Canis lupus familiaris: one gene and its partners. The protein of the gene in region 3 interacts with the protein of the main gene of each other region in a biochemical or structural test. Links are inferred from orthologs where the notes say so. Each region holds a gene or a part of one and is shown on either strand. Other genes may lie near its edges.

Evidence for each region.
Region 1: the proteins of LOX (region 3) and ELN form a complex in vitro, tested with the Homo sapiens proteins (2 studies listed by BioGRID and IntAct). The link is inferred for Canis lupus familiaris from reciprocal best matches to the Homo sapiens genes LOX and ELN.
Region 2: the proteins of LOX (region 3) and EFEMP2 form a complex in vitro, tested with the Homo sapiens proteins (2 studies listed by IntAct, with this or other methods). The link is inferred for Canis lupus familiaris from reciprocal best matches to the Homo sapiens genes LOX and EFEMP2.

Annotation. Positions count from the first base shown.
Region 1 is NC_049227.1:6,243,296-6,250,699, forward strand, and holds the start of ELN (elastin), read right to left. Parts: upstream 4,831-7,404; 5' UTR 4,744-4,830; coding exon 4,662-4,743; intron 1-4,661. UniProt on the Homo sapiens protein: Major structural protein of tissues such as aorta and nuchal ligament, which must expand rapidly and recover completely.
Region 2 is NC_049239.1:51,893,989-51,899,413, reverse strand, and holds the end of EFEMP2 (EGF-containing fibulin-like extracellular matrix protein 2), read right to left. Parts: coding exon 5,351-5,425; intron 5,098-5,350; coding exon 4,981-5,097; intron 4,837-4,980; coding exon 4,717-4,836; intron 3,466-4,716; coding exon 3,346-3,465; intron 3,259-3,345; coding exon 3,132-3,258; intron 2,866-3,131; coding exon 2,670-2,865; intron 1,793-2,669; coding exon 1,631-1,792; 3' UTR 1,489-1,630; downstream 1-1,488. Other genes in the region: crossover junction endonuclease MUS81, read left to right, coding at 1-26, 488-571, 668-734. UniProt on the Homo sapiens protein: Plays a crucial role in elastic fiber formation in tissue, and in the formation of ultrastructural connections between elastic laminae and smooth muscle cells in the aorta, therefore participates in terminal differentiation and maturation of smooth muscle cell (SMC) and in the mechanical properties and wall integrity maintenance of the aorta.
Region 3 is NC_049232.1:11,930,296-11,937,357, forward strand, and holds the start of LOX (protein-lysine 6-oxidase), read right to left. Parts: upstream 4,607-7,062; 5' UTR 4,225-4,606; coding exon 3,618-4,224; intron 3,274-3,617; coding exon 3,165-3,273; intron 1,975-3,164; exon of another isoform or gene 1,596-1,974; coding exon 1,458-1,595; exon of another isoform or gene 1,370-1,457; intron 1,005-1,369; exon of another isoform or gene 786-1,004; intron 670-785; exon of another isoform or gene 563-669; intron 207-562; coding exon 50-206; intron 1-49. UniProt on the Homo sapiens protein: Responsible for the post-translational oxidative deamination of peptidyl lysine residues in precursors to fibrous collagen and elastin. Regulator of Ras expression. May play a role in tumor suppression. Plays a role in the aortic wall architecture.

The DNA of each region.
Region 1 (7,404 bases), on a different chromosome or scaffold from region 3:
ATCGGCTGCCAAGCACGCACATAGCCTGTCTTGGGCCTTGGATGCCTCCCTTGTCTCCAGCCTCCAGATCTGAGCACTGTCTCCTACAATGTCTTTCCTTGTGGTAGTCCAGGCCTTTCTCTGCCTCCATTCTCACCCTGCTCCCCTTTCTCTTCCTCTTGACAGTGCCTTGTCCCCACCTCTCTGCTCTCTGGCTCCAGGGCAGGCTGCAGGAGCAGACCCATCTGTCTCTAATCCTGGCTGTGCCACTTCTTACCATCTGTGTGACCTTGTGCAAGTCATGTAACCCTTTTGAGTCCCAGTTTCCTTGTAAGCAATGTGGGACTGATCACCTCTGCCTTTCAAGGCTGTTTGCAAATTGCCAAAGGGTTCAAATAAGAGACCGTCCTGCTCTTGACTTGGCATACAGTAATTGCTCAAAAAAAAAAAAAAAGGTGACCTTTTGTGTCCACTTTGCTGCACAGTGCATGGTGTGGGGCCAGGTATACAACAGACATTCAATAAACCACGAGTGAATTAGGTTGAGAGGAGGCAAGGATGGGTCTGGGTCCAAACTCTTCCATCCCCAGCCAGCCTGGGGGGCTCCCCACCTCGGGCCTGGCTGAACCCTTCCTTCCTCTGCCGAGGTTCTGCTCCCCTGCACCCCATCTGCATTTCCTCCTCTGCCTGCCCTCTCCCCAGCGCCTGCCCGGCTCTCTGTAGCCCTCCTGGCCTGCCCCAGCTCTCCCCACACCCCGGCCCCCCATGATTCAGTTCCCAATACTGATTGCCAAACTCCGTGCCTGAACCATGATGGCCGGGGGAGCGAGAGAGTTCGACCCCCACTTTGCACTGAGCTAATGGAGAAGGATTAGGGGGGTGCAAAGGATCCCTGCCCTGCCCCCTCTCACCACGTTCAGGAGAGGTGAGAACAGATTAAGACAGTAGTCAGTCAAGGGCCTTCAAAAAGGCAGCTTTCGAGCTCTAGCCGGTTCTCCTTCTCCTCACCTCCTTGGCTGGAACAGTTCCTCCTGCCAAGAGTGCTCTCCGCTACCCAAGTCCTGCACTTCCTCCTAGACTGAGCTCAAATTCTTCCCCTCCTGCCTTCTCTGAGCCTGTGGTTCTCACCGCTCAGCTGGCCCAAAGCAGTTGGCTTGGAGCATGCTTGTCTTGTTTTATGTGGGTTTGGCTTGTTTCACGGGCTAGCCCAGGGTGGAACTTGTCTCTTGCCTCTTAGAATCCTGGTCTTAGACTCTCAGAGATCATAACAGTCTTCTGGCCTGGGCGGAAACTCCTGCAAACATCCCCTTGTACTCCTGCTTGCACGCCTCTGGTGACAGGAAGATCACCCCCTCCCGATGCTGTTGGCCCTACCTGCAGAAAGGCTTTCTTTCTGCTGAGACAGAATCTGCCCTCCATCTCTCCACTGCTGTCTCCCAGAGCCCCAGAGCCCCAGAGCCCCAGGCTCATCTCTCACCCACAGACAGCCTCTCAAGCATTGCCCGTTCTTTTAGGTCTGACTCAAATGTAACTTCTGCTATGAAGCCTTCCTGGATTTCCTGGGACTCTCCTGGGCCACCCAGTCTCCTGGTCCTATCTGCTTCCTCCATCACTCATGCACACTCCACCCAGTAGACAAAACATGGCGTGAGCAGCAAGAGGGAAAGTTAAACCTTAAAAAATGTGCCCTAATTATAAGAGTCAATCGGTCCAAATAAACAAATTCTGAATAAGAAGATGTATTGTTTTAGAAATTCCCATTCCCACAGTCCCCTCACTTGATGTGATTTTTGCAGATGTTACACGGCTGGAGCCTCCCACTGGCCCAAGGAGATAAGTAGGGCAGGGATGTTTCTCCTCATTTTATGGCCAGGGAAACCAAGAGCCAGTGAGATGAGGCGCCTGGCCTGGGACCCACCGCTGACCCCAGTCACACGCAGGGCTTTCTGCCTGGGCCCCCGGGCTTTAGGTTCAAAGATGTGGAGAAGGCAGTTGGGGAATGAGCATCGGGCCAGCAGGCCTTGGCAAGGGGCTTTGCCAAGCCCAAGTCCAGGGGGCTGGCAAGGGAGCAGATAAGACCTCACGAAGCTGTTTATTGTTTGCCTGGAGAAAGGCTGCCAAGGGCTTTTCAAAAACAATCTGTCCTCTAGTGGGTGACTCTGTCCCCTCCCTCCCCTGGGCACGTCTGCCCTCCCGCCGTGGCTCCAGCAAATGCAGAGAGTGGGATTAACTCCTCACCCACAGACCCTCTGCCCTGGAGGCTCATCAGAGTTACCTGGGCAGCTTTTTATAAAACCTCCTCCACATCCAGTTCCTTCCTCTGGCCAAGTAAAGCAGGAATCCTTGGGTGGGACCCTGGTATCAGAGTTGTTTAAAGTTCTCCAGTTAACTCCAATATGCAGCTAGGGATGTTCCAAATCATCCTTAGTCCCGGAATCAGGAAAAGAAAAGGCTGATACATTTCTGGGGCATGGGGATGGAATTCTACCGAATTTAACTGTTTTCTCTATCTTTAAAAAGATAGATGGCATGGGGGTTTGGAGCGGCTGGTCTTCAGACCCACTTGGAACTTCCTAAAGGGGTCCAGACAACCCTTTCCATTACAGTTTTCCTGGGGGGTTCCCTCCACTTACGATGCAGTTCTTTGGAACTAGGAAGCTCATGGGGGTGATATCCTCTTGTTGAGGGGGGCAAATGCTGGGCTCCCCAGGAAAGCCAGGCGGGTAGCTCTGTGTATGTAGGGGCATGGCTCTCTCACTCCCCCCGACCTCTTTAGTAGGCTCTGGGCAAAAACTGCAATAGATATCATGGATTCACACACCCCTGACTGGGACCCAGTTGCTTTACCACCTGGGTCAGAGCTGAGATTTATATTTGTAAAATAAGATGAAGAGTAGTTGAGCATTGGCAGTGTGACTGGAGCCACAAGGAGAGGGTGTATTCTGCCCTAGGGTGTGCCCACTCAGGAGGCTTCATCTCCTGAAGATGGATGCCCCCCCCCAGATGTAGCCCGATACCCGGCCCCTGCCCCCATCCTTTGGCAGAGAACCTGGCCAGTACTAACCCCCTGGGGCTGCCTTAGCCTGTCTGAGCCTCCATTTACCTATGGGTAAAAGAAGATCATATTCTCAACTCTTCGGGGGTTTTGAGGGGTTAATTGCCACGCTCTATGTGGAAGCACTGTCTGGGGAGGCAGGTGCTCAGGGGCCACACCTGAGGGAGTGGGGAAGAGGTTTGAGAGGGTCCAGAGCCGCTGCTCTTGGGGGTGCTGGGGTGGCCGGTCGTCTGGGGTTTGTCTTGCCCCCCTAGTATGCCCCCCGCCGCACCCCCATCCAGGTCCAGGTCCAGGAGCTGACCTCTGCAAGAAGCCTCTGCTCTCAGCAGTCCTGTTCAGCTAGTCAGTGGCTCGGGGGAGAGGGTTGCTGCTGCCCCGCCCCTCATTCCAGCCCTCCGGCCTGGCCCTGCTCCATCCCGCGCCCCCGACACTGGTCCCCCACTGAAGATCTGGTTCTAATGGCAAAGGGGGACGCCCATGGGAAGTTGACCCCACCCAGGCTACCCCACCAAATGGCTCAAGTCTCTGCACTCCTCTCTTCCCATGGCCAAGAGCACCTTCTGGAGGGCTCCCCAGGGGGCCACTCCTAGGAGCCCTTGAGGTGTGTAGCCTCCCCCGGGGAGGGGGGCATCCTTGTGGCCTATGGCAGAGAGCATGCCAGATGGTCCAGAACTGCCCCGAGGTCCACTTTAGCCTCTGTCACTGGCTGCCCTCCCTCTGCCAGGAGATGAATACCTTCCCCAGCTTCTCTGATCCTTGTTTGTGTCCTATACCACACACACACACACACACACACACACACACTCACAGAGTCACATGCTCGGTGACAGTCCACACCTGGATAGCATATTTCCCCTGTGTCCATTCCTGTCGGGTGGCAGACTTTCGCACACGCTAACAGGCACTTTCACAAACCCTACGCCCTCTCCCATCACACACACCTGCTCAGGGGTGAACCTGTGAACACACATTCCTCCTCTATGGTTTGATGACACATTTGGACATATACACACATGCCCACCTGCGCCGTAGCACACAACACACTTGTTCCTGTGTGCATGCCCTGCACACACATACACACGCTCCGATGGCCCGGCCCCCCTCACCAGGGACAGACCACAGCAGCAGCTTTCCAACCCGCAGCCCGGAATCAACGGAACTCTGACCTTCCTCTGAGGGGGGTCCTGACTTCCCCGGGGTGGGGGGAGGAACAAGGAACCTGTCGAGGTCACACAGCTCACCGTAGTCGCTGAGCTGGCCTCCGGCCCCAGTCCCCTGTCCCTACTGGATCCACACGTGTGCAAACTGCCTGTGCCCTGCCAGGGGACCCCGAGGGCCCTCCCGCAGCATGCTTGCGCGCCCCCCCCTCCGCAGACAGCGCCCGGGACAGAGGTGGGGGGCCTCAGCCGAGCCGAGCCGGGCGGCAGGACCTGGGCCGGTCGGGACCACCCTGCACCTTGGGGTGTCTGGTGACAGGTTCCTCCTCGGCAGGGCTGGCTCCCGGGAGGCGCGGTTGCGGGGATCCAGCGGCCGGGAGGCTCCCGCCCAGGGTCCCCGGACGGCGGGGTGGAGGGCGCCCAGGTCTGTCAGGGGGGGCCGCGGCATCCCGGGGCAGGGAGAGGCCTACCTCCGGGCTGCGAGGGGCGGGCGACGGACAGCAGGAGCAGCAGGACTCCGGGCCGCAGGGCTGCAGCTCTCAGACCCGCCATCTCGGGGAGAAGTGCCCCGGGCCGCTCTCTGCGCCTCGTTTTATCCCCAAAGCGTAATTGCGGCCTCGTCGCTGAGAGGGAAGGAGGGCGGGCGGCGGGCGGCGGGGGAGGGGGGAGCTGGGGGAGGGGGCCGCGGGGAGGGGGCAATTACGAAAGGCCCCGCTCCCAAGCCTCCCAGGCTGAGTCTGACTGGACTGGATGTGGGCTTTTTTCCTTAAAACACACTCACCCGCGCGCACACACACACGCACACGCACAGTTTCCCCATCCCTCTCGGCTTCCCTCTGTAGCTGTTCCCTCCGCGCTGGCCGCGTTCCCGCCAGAAAGTGCGAGGGGGGCCTCTGCCAGGACAGCCCTCGGGAGAGGAAGCGGGGGGAGGGCCCGCAGCCCGGCCAAAACTCCAGCCCCAGCCAAGGCCCGAGTGGCCAGGCCCCCGCCCCTCCGGCTGGGCCCGGGGCCCAGCGTGGGGACGCAGGCCAGCTGTCCTGTGCCTCTGCCCCCACCCCGGCCCTCCAGACTCCCCCGACACCCCCAGGTCTGGCCAGAGACTGTCCCTGCCCGAAGCTGGGGGTGTGGGGTGTTGGGCAGGTCTGGGGTCCAAGGCCTGGGGCCAATGTCTGCAGAGGCTGAGGGGCTGTGAGCAGAACGGCCTGGAAGGTGAGATCATGCTGGCGCTGCCCTGTGGGGCATCAGGGGAAAAGAAGGGGGGGGGGGGGGGGGGACTCTGACACACTATAGGTCCATCCTTTATGGACTAAGGTCACTGTCTCCCGGCTGATGCTGGGGAGGGTTTGGGGGCAGGTCTAGGATCTGCCTCTGCAAAGGCACAGAGGCTGCATTAGAACAGCCTGGGAATTAAGACCACATTGGCATAGTGCCCTGGGGCATCTGGGGGACATGTGGGAGACCCTGACACACCACAGGGATTCCATTCCTCATGGATCAAGGTCACAGTCCCACACACAGGCCTGTGTAGACCACAGTGTCTGGGGATGTTCAGACAGGATCCCCAGGTACTCTTTGGGGGACCGAGGGGTTGGGGACCTCACCCGGATTGAGTGTCCTGGCCCCTCTTTATCACCCAGCCCCCATCTATCTCAATGCTGAGCCTCACTAGCACCCAGACCAGACTCCAGAGTCCCCAGACGGCAAGTTCCCTCCCAGCCACAGGAGGACGCCTGGGGCGCTGACATTCCGCTGGTGGCCAGGAGGGGGCGGCCCTGTGCTGAAACAGCTGAGACCAGCATTTCCAAGACTCCCGAAGTCCCAGCCTGCCTGCACAGGATGAGGACCTTGGGGACTTTCCTGGGGTTGGGTAGAGTAGCGGAGGGTCATGCCTCCCCAGCCCCCCGAAATTGGGGAAGAAATTCAAGAGCCAGAGGATACGGGAGGGGAACAGATACTTGCTATCATCAGAGCCTCTAGGGTGGGGGAGGGGGAAAGTCGAGGTCACAAGTTCTGTGAGCTTTTTCCTGCCCCCAGATGGAGAATGATGGGGGAGACACAACCACAGCTCTGAGCAAGGGAGCTAAAGGACCCCCGCGCCCTCCAGCCTGGAGCTGTGTGGCCTTCTGGAGGACTAACAAGGCCACGTGTTGAACTCAGGTGAACCTAACACTAAATTCTAGCTCTAGGGCTTTCTACTGGGGTAAGCTCTTCACAGAGCTTCGGTTTCATCTCGTGTCAGATGGTGATAAATATCCCTGCCTAGGAGGGTTATTGCAAAGATAAATAAAATGTGATCATACATTTCTGTACCGTGCCTGCCAGATCCAAAATGCTCCAGGCTCATTTGGTGCTAGTACTAGTACTAGGCTACTATTGCTACCCCTCATCCTGCATGGACCACTCCTGTGTTTAGGATTAACTATCAGGTTTGGCTCTCTGTGGGGCCACCTTAGGACCCCAGGCCATTCCATCCTCTCCCCCTGGTCTTAGGCAGCGTCTGCTTCAGGAGTTTGGAAAAGGGTGGACACACAAGGAGAACAAACTTGAAGCTATTTTGCACAGTAAGTGTACAGCTCCTGCTTCCAGTGTGTTCTATTTGGGGTACTGTGGGGTAGCTGATAGAGGTTATGAGCCCGAACTTGTCTTTGTTGCTGGGGGTAGGGGCTGCTTAGGGTTGGGGTCTGGAGGCTCAGTACCTAGGGTGAGCCTACATGTGGAGAGCGAGGCCAGGAGGTGCATCTGTGTGCCTGCCCCCTCCTGGGAAGGGGGAAGGGAGGGGGCGCTGGGGAGGAGCTGGGCCCCACTCCTCTCGGGGCAGTGACGTGGGCAGGAACCGGCTTTCAGACTTGCAAACCGCAGTCTGCTCAGAGTCTTTATTAATTCCAGGACCAGGAGAGAGGCTGGAGCCAGAAGGAGCGTTCTTGCTGCCGGGGGATCCAGGAGAGGTGTGGAGGGGCGCTTGCAGGGAGAGACTCGGGGCTGCTGGGCCAGACCTCTCCCCACAGAATCAGGGCCCTGTGTTCCACCCTGATCTGGGACCCCCTTTTTCTTAGCACCCTGTGCTCGTTGGAACAGCTCCAATAACTTGCATCTGAGGCTTCACACACCAGAAAGGGCTTCAATTCAGAACCCATCAATTGAAGTGATTCTTCAGTACAATTTAGCCCAGGGTATTCAATACATACTGTAAGGACTGGAGGTCACAGTTATTAG
Region 2 (5,425 bases), on a different chromosome or scaffold from region 3:
GTGGGCCAGTACAGCACCCCTGCCAGGTGAGTGCTTTGCGGAGGGGTCTGGCTCTGCCAGGGTGCATGGACCTGACTGAGTGGACAGAGGGGAGTTGGTGGAGGTCAGGTGGTAAGGAAGACGGGGTCAGCTAGGAGTAGACAGTATCTCAGGGTCAGCTAGAAATAGACAGTATCTCAGCGGCCAGGGGAGCCAACAGGAGTGAGCGAGCGCTTCTGCCTGGTGCAGCGGAGAAGGCTCCTGGATGAGGGGGTTGGGCCATGAAGACTAGGCCAAGAATAGTCACACTTGGAGAACATTTGCAGCTGCATGAAGGGAGGCTGAGCTGGATGGAAGGCTCAGGAAGTACAGCAGCAGTGCTGACTCCTCTCCTCCACGCTGACCCCTTCTGCTTGTCTCCCGTAATGGTGGCCTAGCCACTCAAGAGTGGGCCAGCTGTCCGCTGTTGCCAAGCTTTAGAAATTCAAACACCCTACCCCACCCCCAGCCTCCTGGCCGCCTATGACGCCTGTGTCACCCCCAAGGAACAGGAGATGCTGCTGAGCACCATCAAGTGTGGTCGACTGCAAAGGTGATGATGGCAAGGAAAAAGGACCTACAGGGAGTGGCTGGGGCAGGGTTGCTCTGGCTCATGGTCTGACCCTCACCTGCATTTCTCTTTGTGCAGGAATCTGGGGCCTGCTCTGAGCAGAATCTTTTCCCAGCTCTACTGCTGCTACAGCCCTCTGACCTGAGGCATCCCGTGAGGCCGACTACACCACCACCCCCCACCTTCATGGGCTAGCCAGCCTTTTAAGCCACTGGGCTACAATAAAAATATAAGTATTTGCAGCTTGATGTATTATGGAGGTGATGCCAGGGACTTTGTGAAGTATCCAGGCAGAAATTGGGGAGACCAACAGATCCAGTGGTTTTTAAACTGAGCTCTAAGGACCCTGGGGTTCCCTGGGAGAGCACTGAGACCACCAAGGAGATGGAGTCAGTGAGGCGTTACAACTTTGAATCTAGTTTATATCATCAGAGTTCCCTGATAGGATCAAATATCCTTCCATAATAAGTTCTGTGTTTTGGAAAAGAAATATGTGGAAAGCACTAATCTTAATTGCCTCATTTTATAGATTGGAAAACTGATGCCCAGAAAGAATCTACTAGGGTTTAGTCAAATTGATAGTTTGAGGCCAAACTGGGATTAGAACCCAAGGCCTCCAATGTCTACAGTAGAGTTATAAACCAAACTCCAGTTCCTGGGCTGGGTCCCTGGAGTCTGTAGCCTTATCATCTCCTCCATTCTCAGACCGATTCTGATGTGCATGGTACATGGATCAATCCTGGTCTTGGGGACACAGTTCCCAACTTCTATCTATGGGGCACCCTGAGCCCGAATGGAGATACCCCCCTTTAGGTGATTGGCCTGCCTCCCACAGCCTGGCCACTTCCCCAGTCCAGGGGTTCACTACAGTGTTACCCACCCACCTCAGCCACCAGGACTCCTTCTTTCTCCCTTTATTGCCTTTCTCTTTCTACTCTTCACAACAGCATCTGCCCTTGCAGCCGAGCACAGTCATCCCTGAGCCCCAGGCTCTTGGGCCACAGGAAGCCTCTCCCTCCCTGAGGGCTCCCCACCCCCACCTCAGAAAGTATAGGCCCCCACGAAGACGGTGAGTCTCAGTACAGAACTGGCCCGGTAGCTCATGAGGGAATTCATGGTGACCATCTCCAGATCCAGCACGTACTCCCGGGGGCCCGTCACAGGCCGGGCGAGGACCAGCATGGCGCTGACATTGTTGATTTGCTGCAGGGCATAGTGGGTGGGGGACATGTAGATTGTGTCAACCTACATGCCAAGACCCCTGCCCCAGCCTCACCTCCCCATCCCATATCTTGAGCCCACAATCAGTTGGCTGTGAAATGGAGAGTCCTAGCAGGCTGTGACCCCAGGCTCTCATCCAGCTCTGATACCCTTGACATCTTGTCACTGATGCACCCAGGCTCCTGCCCTCAGAAATTTCCCACTGGTGCTCTTCCCACACTTTCCATCTAGTTCTTTTGTCTAATCAGGGTCAACTGATGATGCAAGGCCAGGTGGGAAACTTTTGGGAGTGGTGGGGTCTTTGGTGACCTGGAGCTGGCTGACTTCCCTTCAGAGCATCCAATTGCAGAAAGAGAAAACAAGGACTAATATCAGATAAACCCTTGGCCCCCTCTCCTCGTGAGTCATGCCTGGATCTCTCCCTAATAGCTCCACCAGCAGCGAGCTGGATTCTTGGATGCCAGACCCCTGCACCAACCCCTGCTGCCTCTCTCTCCAAGGCCCAGCTCCATCTGCTTGTGTTCCCCAGACCCTGTTGTGTCCTGTTACCTGGGCAGGCTTCTCATGCCAGTGCCTTGTTCTAAGAGTGAACAAATCAGAGGCCAGATATGGAAACCAGTGCCAGGACTCAAACCCCAGTGTCCAAGTGCCTCATTGGAACTGCATTTAACAACCTGTAGTTTGTTAGTTTGTAGCAAGGGAATTTAGAATACCCCTACCTTTCTGCAGAAATTCCACCTCCTGGGGGGACAGGGCTTTGAGAAAAGGGGTAGAGCCAAATCTCCCACTTAAGGTTTTCTGGAATTCAGTTTTGGATTATGCATGTCACTTGAGGGGTGCAATTAGGGGAAAGCCTTACCCTAATGTAGAAATCCCCTTGCGAGTTTCCTGCACGGATCTGAAAGGCATTGTAGGCGCCAGGGTAGACAGAGGTTGCTTGGATCTGGAACACATCGGCGGGCACACTCCGCTCTGAGGTGATGCTCATGTAGCGGTGCACAATAGACGAGGGCTGCTCCCGGCACAGGGGGTTGGAGGCCGGACAGAGGCAGCGACTAGAAACCCCAAAATGGGGACACAAATGAGGTCCTGGCCTATACCCCAAGTTTGGTCCCATTCCTAAAACTAGGTATCCCCAAAGGATTCTCCCACTCCTTCTAGAACTGTTTGCATGGTTTAGTCATGAAAGACTACAATTCCCATAGGCCCTGGAGCACTAGACAGCCTGCACAGCAGCCAGTCAGCCACAGAGCCCTCTGAGAGTTGTAGTTTCTGCGGGCGGGGGGTGTGGGGGCGGGTGTCTGGTGTCCCATGGACTCACTTGTCAGACACCTGGACGTAGGGTTCCACGCAACGGTTGGTATCCACACAGCGGTAGCCTCCATGGAAGTTGACACAAGTTTGGGCCTCAGAGCACTGGTGCGCGCCTGACTCACACTCATCAATGTCTGCATCAGGGGAAAGGGGCTGGAACCCAGATGTCAGGCCACCAGCCCCCGATACCACCCTACCTGCTCCACTGGGGCAACCTGTACCTTGGCAGAGGCGTGTGGCCAGCAGCTGGTAGCCCTGCGGGCAATGGCAGGAGAAGCGGCCAGGTTCGTTGACACAGCGGTACTGGCAGAGGTAACTGGAGTAGCTGCACTCATCAATATCTGAGGAAGAGTGGGGATGAGGGCTCTGGGCCAAGGGCAAGCCTCTCAATTCATTCCCACGAATGAATTGAATTTACAGAGAGAGCCTGGCCATATGTTAGGCTCAGTATGGAAAGACAGGGGGATGCAAAGCTCAGTAAGGAGACAGGATTCAAATAAAGGTCTGCCCAGACTGCCCAGCTCCCGGACCTCTGCCCCAGCTCTGCAATACAAGACCTCATGGAAGCACTGTGAATCTAGAGGCTTGGGTGTAAGTCCTGATTGAATTTGGGGAACCTTGATTTCCCTGTCAATAAAATGAGCAGGTTGGACTAGATGAGACTTGAAGGCCCAGCCTGTTCAAGCTTTTGGTAACTTGCCCAATTCCTGCAACCCACAACCAGCCTCAGTGTACAGTCCCCTCCTGCCAACAGGTAGTTTATAGGCAAGAGCCAGGGTTTCTTTTTTTTTTTTTTTTTTAAGAGCCAGGGTTTCTGCTCTGGTTAGCCTCATGCTGTCTAGCACTGAGCCAGGTACCAATGGGGCCATACAACCCCAAAGCACAACATAAACAAGGTACCTGGCCAGCTGACAAGGAATGAGTGATCCAGAGTGGAACCCTGGTGCGACCTCACCCTAGCTGTATGACCTTGGGCAAGTCACTTAACCTCTTTGCTGAAGGACTTTGTGCTTATTATTTTCTTTAACAATAGTTGCCAAAAACCTCAAGGGAGAGACTACCATCCTCGTTTTGCAGAGGAAGGAAAAATTCATACTTACAGCCTAGGATTGTTGGCAGGATTAAATGAAGCCAAGTATGTAGGGGAAATTAATGCCCTGCACAGGGAAGGCTCTCAATAAATGATAGTTCACTTTAAAACGTCGTGGCTTGGGACTTGACGAAGCCTGTCTTGTCATTTTCCCACTTCATCCTCAAGACGATCCATTTTACAGAAGAAATGGGCTCAAAAGAGTGGCTGGCCCTAGTCCAGGATGCAGGTCCATCTAACTCCCAAGAGGGGAGCAGCTGCATCCTTTGTCAGTCTCCCCACTGAGCTTCAGTGCTCCCTACTGAGCATTCCTACTGTGCCTTCCCCTCCATCCCAGACTGGAAGTTCTGTAGGTGCCCTGCAATCAACCTGGGGTGGAACACAGAGGATGTACACGGGTGCAGAATGGATGGGATGGGAAGGCGTCAAATGGAGGACTGTGTGGCAGGAACAGGGCCTGGGAGACTTACAGAGGAGCACAGCAGAGAGGGGGAGCTCTCACCATTGCAGGAGAAGCCATCCCGATGCAGCTCATAGCCCTGGTGGCAGCGACACAGGAAGGTCCCATAGGAATTGAAGCAGCGCTGCTCACATGGAGCCCCCATGTCGCATTCGTTCACGTCTGAGGGTTCAGGGAAAAACAGGAAGGGTGAAAGCCAAGGAGCAGCCCAGAGCGCCCACCTTCCCCAGGTGGGTCAGAAAGAGAACTCCTGCACCCCACACCACCCTGCCCAGGATCCAAGAGCCTGGCCTGGCCCAGCCTCACCTACACAGGAGCGGTTGTTGGGCCCCAGCTGGAAGCCTGGTTCACATTGGCAGCGAAAGGAGCCAGGCAGGTTGACACAGCGGTGCTGGCAGTAGCGGTAGCGGCACTCGTCTATATCTGGGAGGGAGTCAGGGAAAGGGGCAGAGGGCATGGATTGGCTGGGACTCAAGGCCTCACCACCCATACGTAGTCTTGCCTGTGTCTGGGGGTCTGAGCTCGGTCAGGTGAGCCAGGACTCACACACAGATCCTCACAGTTCTGTGACTGGTGACAGGAAGGCAGAGGTGGCAGGGGGGGTTGTCAGGTGCTAGGGGGAGAGCTGGGCCAAGGGCACAGAGCAGAGACTAGAGAGGCTGTCCTCCAGACTTACCCACACACTCAGGCCCAATCTTGCGGTAGCCATCTGGGCAGGTGCACTGGTAGGAGCCGGGCAGGTTATGGCACT
Region 3 (7,062 bases):
GTTTTCTCTCTGAAGCTTTTAGGTTTCTGATGTCAGAGGGCCAACCTACCTGTGTATGTGCTGTACATGCAAATCGCCTGTGGTAGCCATAGTCACAGGATGTGTCCTCAAGACAGAAACTGGCTTTGTGGCCTTCAGCCACTCTCCTCTGGGTACTGGCATCAAGTAGGTCATAGTGGCTGAATTCATCCATGCTGTGGTAATGTCTGATGTCCCACACAACACAGAGACAGAGGTCAGTAACATACAGAGAAACAAAGCCATGAGGACTTTAGATGACTCCCCCACTGCCTCCCACACGTGTTTTCACACTAAAATTGAGATCAAGTTTATCTTCTTAAAGCCAGATTCATGCTAGCCCTTTTTCCTAGGAATAGAGATCTATCAGAATTGTAAGCTTTTAGCTTTGCTTCTAGGAATAAAAAATGACTTAGTTTGAATATCTTGTTTTCCTATTACACCCTGTTTTATCTTTGAATATTAAATAGAAAAAGATACTAAATTATCTGCATTTAAGTAAAACCTGCCATATGCTCTCTAATCTGTTTCCTTTGGCTGCCAGGATTGATGTTTCGTTCCAAATAAAAGAAGAGCACATGACTCATGGGAGGTTTCTGTGAGATTTTTAAAAATGCAAAACCATTACTAAAATGCAAAGGAGAAATAATGGTATGTTTTTCCCACAATTATTATTTAATAAGTATAAACTTTTATTGAGAAATGAAATAATTTTATTTTATCAGAAAATTCAGTGTTTATATCTGTTTTCTCTCATTTCATTTCAGGGAAGGTACTGAGATGTTTATCTTCTCATGTAAGGAAAGAACAAGAAAAAATTGCTCAAATTGCAGAAGGTTTCAGGGCACCCATCAGGATTTCCTGGCATTAAGTACCTGGACAAGTTACCAAGGCAAATCATAGAACCACCTTCTATAAAGATCTTTAAATTTAGGACAAAGCAGGCTATTACCCTGGCTTTGATACAGGCCTTTTAAAAGACAGAGGTAGGTCCTTCTCAGCTCATGGAGTATATCATCTCTATTTTTCTCTGAGATTGGTATATGAATCCTTCTGATCACCTGTGGACTTTATGAAATGCTGACTAACTGTAGGTGATCTTGGCTAGAACAAGCTTTTTTTTTGGAAATCTTACCTATAATTCATTGGAATAAAATATTAGGGAAGCCAATGCTGTATCCCTATCAGCAGTTTTAATGAGCTGAACTTAGAATTTTAACGAGCTGGATTTGAATTTCCATTTTAAAAGATAACAGGATCCTGTAGCTGATATGTTTCCTTGATGATGTCACATTACACAGAGAAAATTCTGAATGTAATCATAACAGTAATTTTCTCCCTTTTCTGTAAGAAATAAGACTTTGCACTTGTCACATCAAGAACTCTGTGAAAAAAAGGAAAACACAACTCAGAAGGACCTAGGAGGCCCATCCACTTACTGGTGACAACTGTGCCATTCCCAGGAATATCTTGGTCGGCTGGGTAAGAAATCTGATGTCCCTTGGTTTTTCACTCTTTGAGGGAATCTTAGCAGCACCCTGTGATCATAATCTCTGACATCTGCCCTGTATGCTGAGCTGTGGTTTTGAAGAAGGAAACATTAGTACTTTCACAGGATACTATCTAAAGATGAATTACAAGCAAAACCCTTTCCATTTTATAATGGCAACTACCTCCCACCTCCAACTAGACTATCAGTTGCAAGAGACCTGGGGCATTTTGCTTATTTTGTTTATTGCTGAATCTCCAGATCCTAGAACGATGCCTGGCAAGTGGTCAGAGTTCAGTGAATATTTGTTGAATCAGTGAATGAATGACCACTATAGAAACCTGCAGTTAGGATCCCTGGGTGGCTCAGCGGTTTGGCGCCTGCCTTTGGCCCAGGGCGAGATCCTGAAGACCCGGGATCGAATCCCACATCAGGCTCCCGGTGCATGGAACCTGCTTCTCCCTCTGCCTGTGTCTCTGCCTCTCTCTCTCTCTCTGTGACTATCATAAATAAATAAAAAATTAAAAAAAAAAAAAGAAACCTGCAGTTAAAAAGTATAATAAAATTAGGATTAAGAGTGTACGTGTGATAAGTAAATTTTGTACTTATAATCAGTTCTTGTTTAGCCACATGAATGAGTAGCAGTTATCTCAAATTTTTTAAAAAAATCTTATGTACTTATTAAGAACTTTGAATTTAACAATACGTTTCTTCTTAAATAGTTTCCTAAGATGTAAAGTGGGGAAATAATTCTAGAAGCATACACCCAGATTAGAGAAATAATTTTGCAATTTCGCTATCTTGAAAACAATGGCATGACTGTAATAACATCCTAGGGAGTGCAAGACTCAAAATGGATGAGTTCAGCTTTCTTCTCTTCCTTTAGCCTGACAGTTACAAAGGGTCAAAGTGGAAGAAGAACTGAACAGATAAACACTACTCTCTTCCTTCTAACATATTTTGTGGGAATATATATTCACATACTGTTGAGTATTTTCACTTTCCACTTGAAAAAAATTTTATGAGACCTATCAAAACATCTTTTGCTCCCTCTGCTGGTTTCCCAGCGGCAAAGTCAGAGAATTCCATTCCCCAAATTGCTATGACTTTATTTTAGGACTGATTCAAAAACAAAGCTCTTGATCATGCTCTTATTCTGGCTGAAGTAATACCAAAACAACGAAATTAAATTGTGGCCTCAAACAAAAGAAGAAAACCTAACCTTTGCTGATGAGGGGTGCCACACTGGCAAATTAGCCCTCTGTGTTTTAAGGGGTTATTAACAAGCTCTTCCATTACAAAATTTTTTCCATGGTATTGTACAGTTCTTTGATAGAAAGTTATGGGAAACCACTAGCTCCAAAGTCTGAGGGTCTTGGAAAAAGAACGCGAGATCTCAACTCTCCAGGATTAGGGTTTACCCCATCTCCCTGATGTGTGTCACAGTTTGAAAGTCGGAACCCACAGAAATCTTGAAAATGTTAAACTCTCCATCCAGTTCAGCATGCCCAGGAGACCACATTCCACTTCCCAGCTCTTGCCGCATTTCCCAATTCTTGTGTGCATGGAACAAGAGCAGCAGTCAGGAGGACCAGGCGCTGGAGCAGCGCCTGACCCACAGATGGGGCAGCCCGGCCGCGGAGAGCCCGACCAGTACCTGGCCAAGCAGTTCTCCTCTGCAGCGCATCTCAGGTTGTACATGGACATCTTTTGCACGTACGTGGACGCCTGGATGTAGTACGGATCTGGCACCAGGTCCGGGAGACCTAAACGTCAGGAGGCGATGGGGATAGGTAGCTGTGAGCCAGCCCAGCACCCCCTACCCCGGCCCTGGGTACCCTCCGTGTCCCTGACTCCTCACCCTTCACCCAAGCGGGCTGCGGGTAGCAGGAGGACGGGGGACGCCAAGGGCTGCAAAGCAAAGTGGAAAGAAAGCAGGAGGGGCCAGGCGCGCGCGGTTTGCACCGGATTCCAGGGCTGCCTCTGCAGGCGCAGGGGGAGGGATCGGAGCCGCGGGGACTAAGGCCTGCCGCGCCCAGGCAGCCACGTTGGGGAGCCACGGAGTGGCGGAAGGGGTGCGCGGCTGCTTCCTGCGACTTGGGGTGCTTACCGTACTGGAAATAGCCGGTGCCGTATCCGGGCCGATACCTGCTCCCAGGCCGAGGCCTTTCGTACGTGTCGTAGTAGTTGTAATAGGGGTTGTCGTCGGAGTACTTGTAGGGGTTGTAGGGGTCGTCGCCCACCATGCCATCCACGCGGCTGGGCGGCCGCAGGTTACTGAGCGCCGGGCGCTCTCCCGGCGCGGTCTGGTTGGCGTCGCGGGCCCCGGACGCCGAGTAGCCAGCCTGGAACCAGTGGCGGGCGGCGGGTCTGGGTCGGCCGGCGCCCCCCGCCGTGCCTGCGGCCCGCTCCCGCGCTGCCGCCGTGCGGTTGCGGAGCAGCAGGATCGGCGTGCGCGGCTGCGGGGCTGCGGCGTTGGCAGCGCCCGGGGCGGTGGTGCCCGGGTCCCGTCGGCGCTGCGGCTGGTACTGCGAGCCCAGGCTCAGCAGGCTGAACACCTGCCCGTTGTTCTCCCATTGGATCCTCTGGCGCCAGGCGGCCGGAGCCGCGGGCGGCTGGCGAGGGGGCTGCTGTTGGCCGGCTGCCGGCGGGGCGCAGCGCAGGAGCGCGCAGAGCTGCAGCGGCCCGAGCAGAAGCGCGGTCCAGGCGAAGCGCATCGCTCCCGTCGCCTGACTGCTCCCACTCCGGGAGGACGCAGATCGGAGAAGAGAGAAACGGGGCCCGAATCACGTGAGGGAGGGGAGAAATCTTCAACCAGGGAGGCCGGTAACTCAGTCCCTACAAGCAATGCCAAGGGTGGGCTGCGGACCCTTGCCCAGCAAAGGCGGCTGCTGGGACGTGGCACCCGCCTGTCTCCTCTTTCCCAGTCCTCCTGGAAGGCGGCGGGGAGCGGCGCGGCGGCCCCGGCGAGCGGGCAGCGTCTGGAGTGAAGGAAGGAGGAGAGATTTTAAACTTTCTGGCACGTTTGCAAAGTTACACAAGCAGTTCTGGCCCGGCAGCCCCTCCGCTATTTGTTCACGTAATGCGATTGGAAACGTGCAAGGCGGACAGCTCCTCGCCTCTGCCCCTCCCTCCCGTCCTGTCCTCCTCCCCCCAGACACGTTGCACAGGGAGCGTTAAGGGGAAAGAACAAAACGGAGCACACATCCTGAGACACACTCGGCTTAATCTGGGGCGAACATGCAGGAATTTCAAAAGACTCAGACAGGCGAAGGCAGCCAGGCCATGGGGCGACGCCAAAATATGCATGAAGAAAAATGCTATTAGGTCACCAGCCCTGGAGAGGCGGGAAGTCGGGAGGTGGGGAGGGTGCTGGGGGCGAGAGTCGGGGAGGAACGGGGGCGGGGGTGGGGTGGGGAGGGATGCTGGTGACTAACGTTTATCCATAAGGAGTTAACCAGACGAATTTCCCAATGCATACTCACTCGCTTTTATGGTAAGCGCCCTCAGCAAATAAACCCCAGGATATCAAATTTTGTTTTTCTGTGTGTAGGTAATATGAGAAATGGGTTACAAATTTGTTTCCTACAGTGAATATTTTAATAACCAAAAGTGAAATTTTACAGGGAACAAAGCCACGTCTAACCCTGAAGAGATGGATAAACCTGTCTCTTTTTCAAAACGCCGGCCTGATTTGTACTTCCAGCAAAAGTGGAGAACCATCTTTCATCTGGACAGCATCTACCAGGACATTTCAGTAAAGGGGGGCTACACCAAGTGTGCCCAAGATAGCACTTGGAAGGCAGCTTCAAGGAAGCGTTTTACATGACTTTTCTCATTCTACATCCGATTTGGAGGTTTGGCTTTGGATTCTTTAAAAAAGTTAAATCATCATTTGCTAAACTGTGAAAATTCAGTAAAACATCCTATGGTGTTTGGTTGATCTTCCAGTGTAAGCAAAGGGGTTTCTGAAGAAATAGCCTCGGAGTTCAGATTCTGGTAAGGACAAAGGAGTAGGAGTAGCCAGACAAGAATGGGTGGCAGATGGGTAGGAGGCAGGTAATGCTGCCTGGAAAGAGATACTTAATGGACCAGTTACCCAAACATACCATGCAGGGTTTGGGTAGTGTTGGAAGCATCTCAAAGAAAAAAAATCTTTAGGCTGATTTAAAACTGTGACTCAGAACCAGATTTTAATAACTTTTTTTTATCAGTCTCATTACTAGGCTGTTGTCTAGATATACTTCATTATTCACCTCTCACTGTCGATCTCTTTCTCTGCAATTTAACCACCGCATTTTGATGATGTGGTGGACAGCTGCTGATTTGAATGCCTAGCATCCATGTTCCTTTCTTTGTTCTTTTTTTTGTGTTTTTTTGTTTTTTGTTTTTCCTAGCGAGAACCACTGTATTTTCCTTTGGGAAAACTCCCCTACACTGTTGCATGGTGGGATTGACTGAGCATTCATAAGAGTTTTGCCACTGCAAGCAGTGGCAACAAGATCCCAGCTTGGCTCATCAAACCATCTCCCTACAATTGGAATCATGAGCAGATGGACACAAGGCTCAAAAATGTTGGAGCTCACTCTTGCCGCTACTCAAGAAAGTTTCTACGAGTTCTTGCTACACGGATTCCCCTTGAGCTGTTTCAGACCAGTACCTTCCAAGACCTGATCCTTCAGCTTTTCCTTACTTTTCTCCATTGCCTTCCTTTGTGGCTTGACATGGTCAGAGTCAGTTGCTGTTGTCTGCCACTTAAGAACCCTGACTGATACTGAGGGGGATTGTGACTGGTTCTCTCAGCTAATCAGATCTCATGATTCTACATCAAACTTGATGGGTTTCGGGTCTTTATTTTATTTTATTTTTTATTCATAAGCGACACACAAAGAGAGGAAGAGACATAAGCAGAGGGAGAATAAGGCTCACTGCAGGGAGCCTGATGTGGAACTCCATCCCAGGACCCTGGGATCATTACCTGAGCCAAAGGCAGACGCTCAACCGCTGAGCTGCCTAGGTACCCTGGGGTTGGCTCTTTTTGAGTCAAATTAGATTTGCTCTTCCTGTGACCACACAGCATCCTTGGTTACAAAGGCTTCAGGTGGAAGCTTGCCAGTGGATTGGCAAGTCCACCATTATATGATGAAGGTGAAAATGCAAGTGCAAATCCCACTGAGAGCAAGTGAACAGTGCCACATCTCTGTCTGAAAGTCAGAGACATTTTATAGACTTGCTGCAGAACTTAAAATTAAACTACTCAGTTTCTCCGAACCCACTAAGAGAAGATGGAGCAAAAAGAAGCAGGTGTATATAATTTGGATGGACAGGCTAAATGATAGGGGAAGCAGGAAGGGAGAGAATGTAATTATCTCTCATCTCTCATCTGCCCATGAATGGCTTGTTCCCCAGAAACAGAATCCCGTAACTGCTAGTGCTTGACCACACGTGGCTGAGGGAAGATCTCTTCTGTGGAGATGACAGACACTGTCAGATTGGCAGACCAGAGCAGCCCCTAATGGGAGGGTAGAAAGTTTATGCTGGATGTTGTTGAAAAT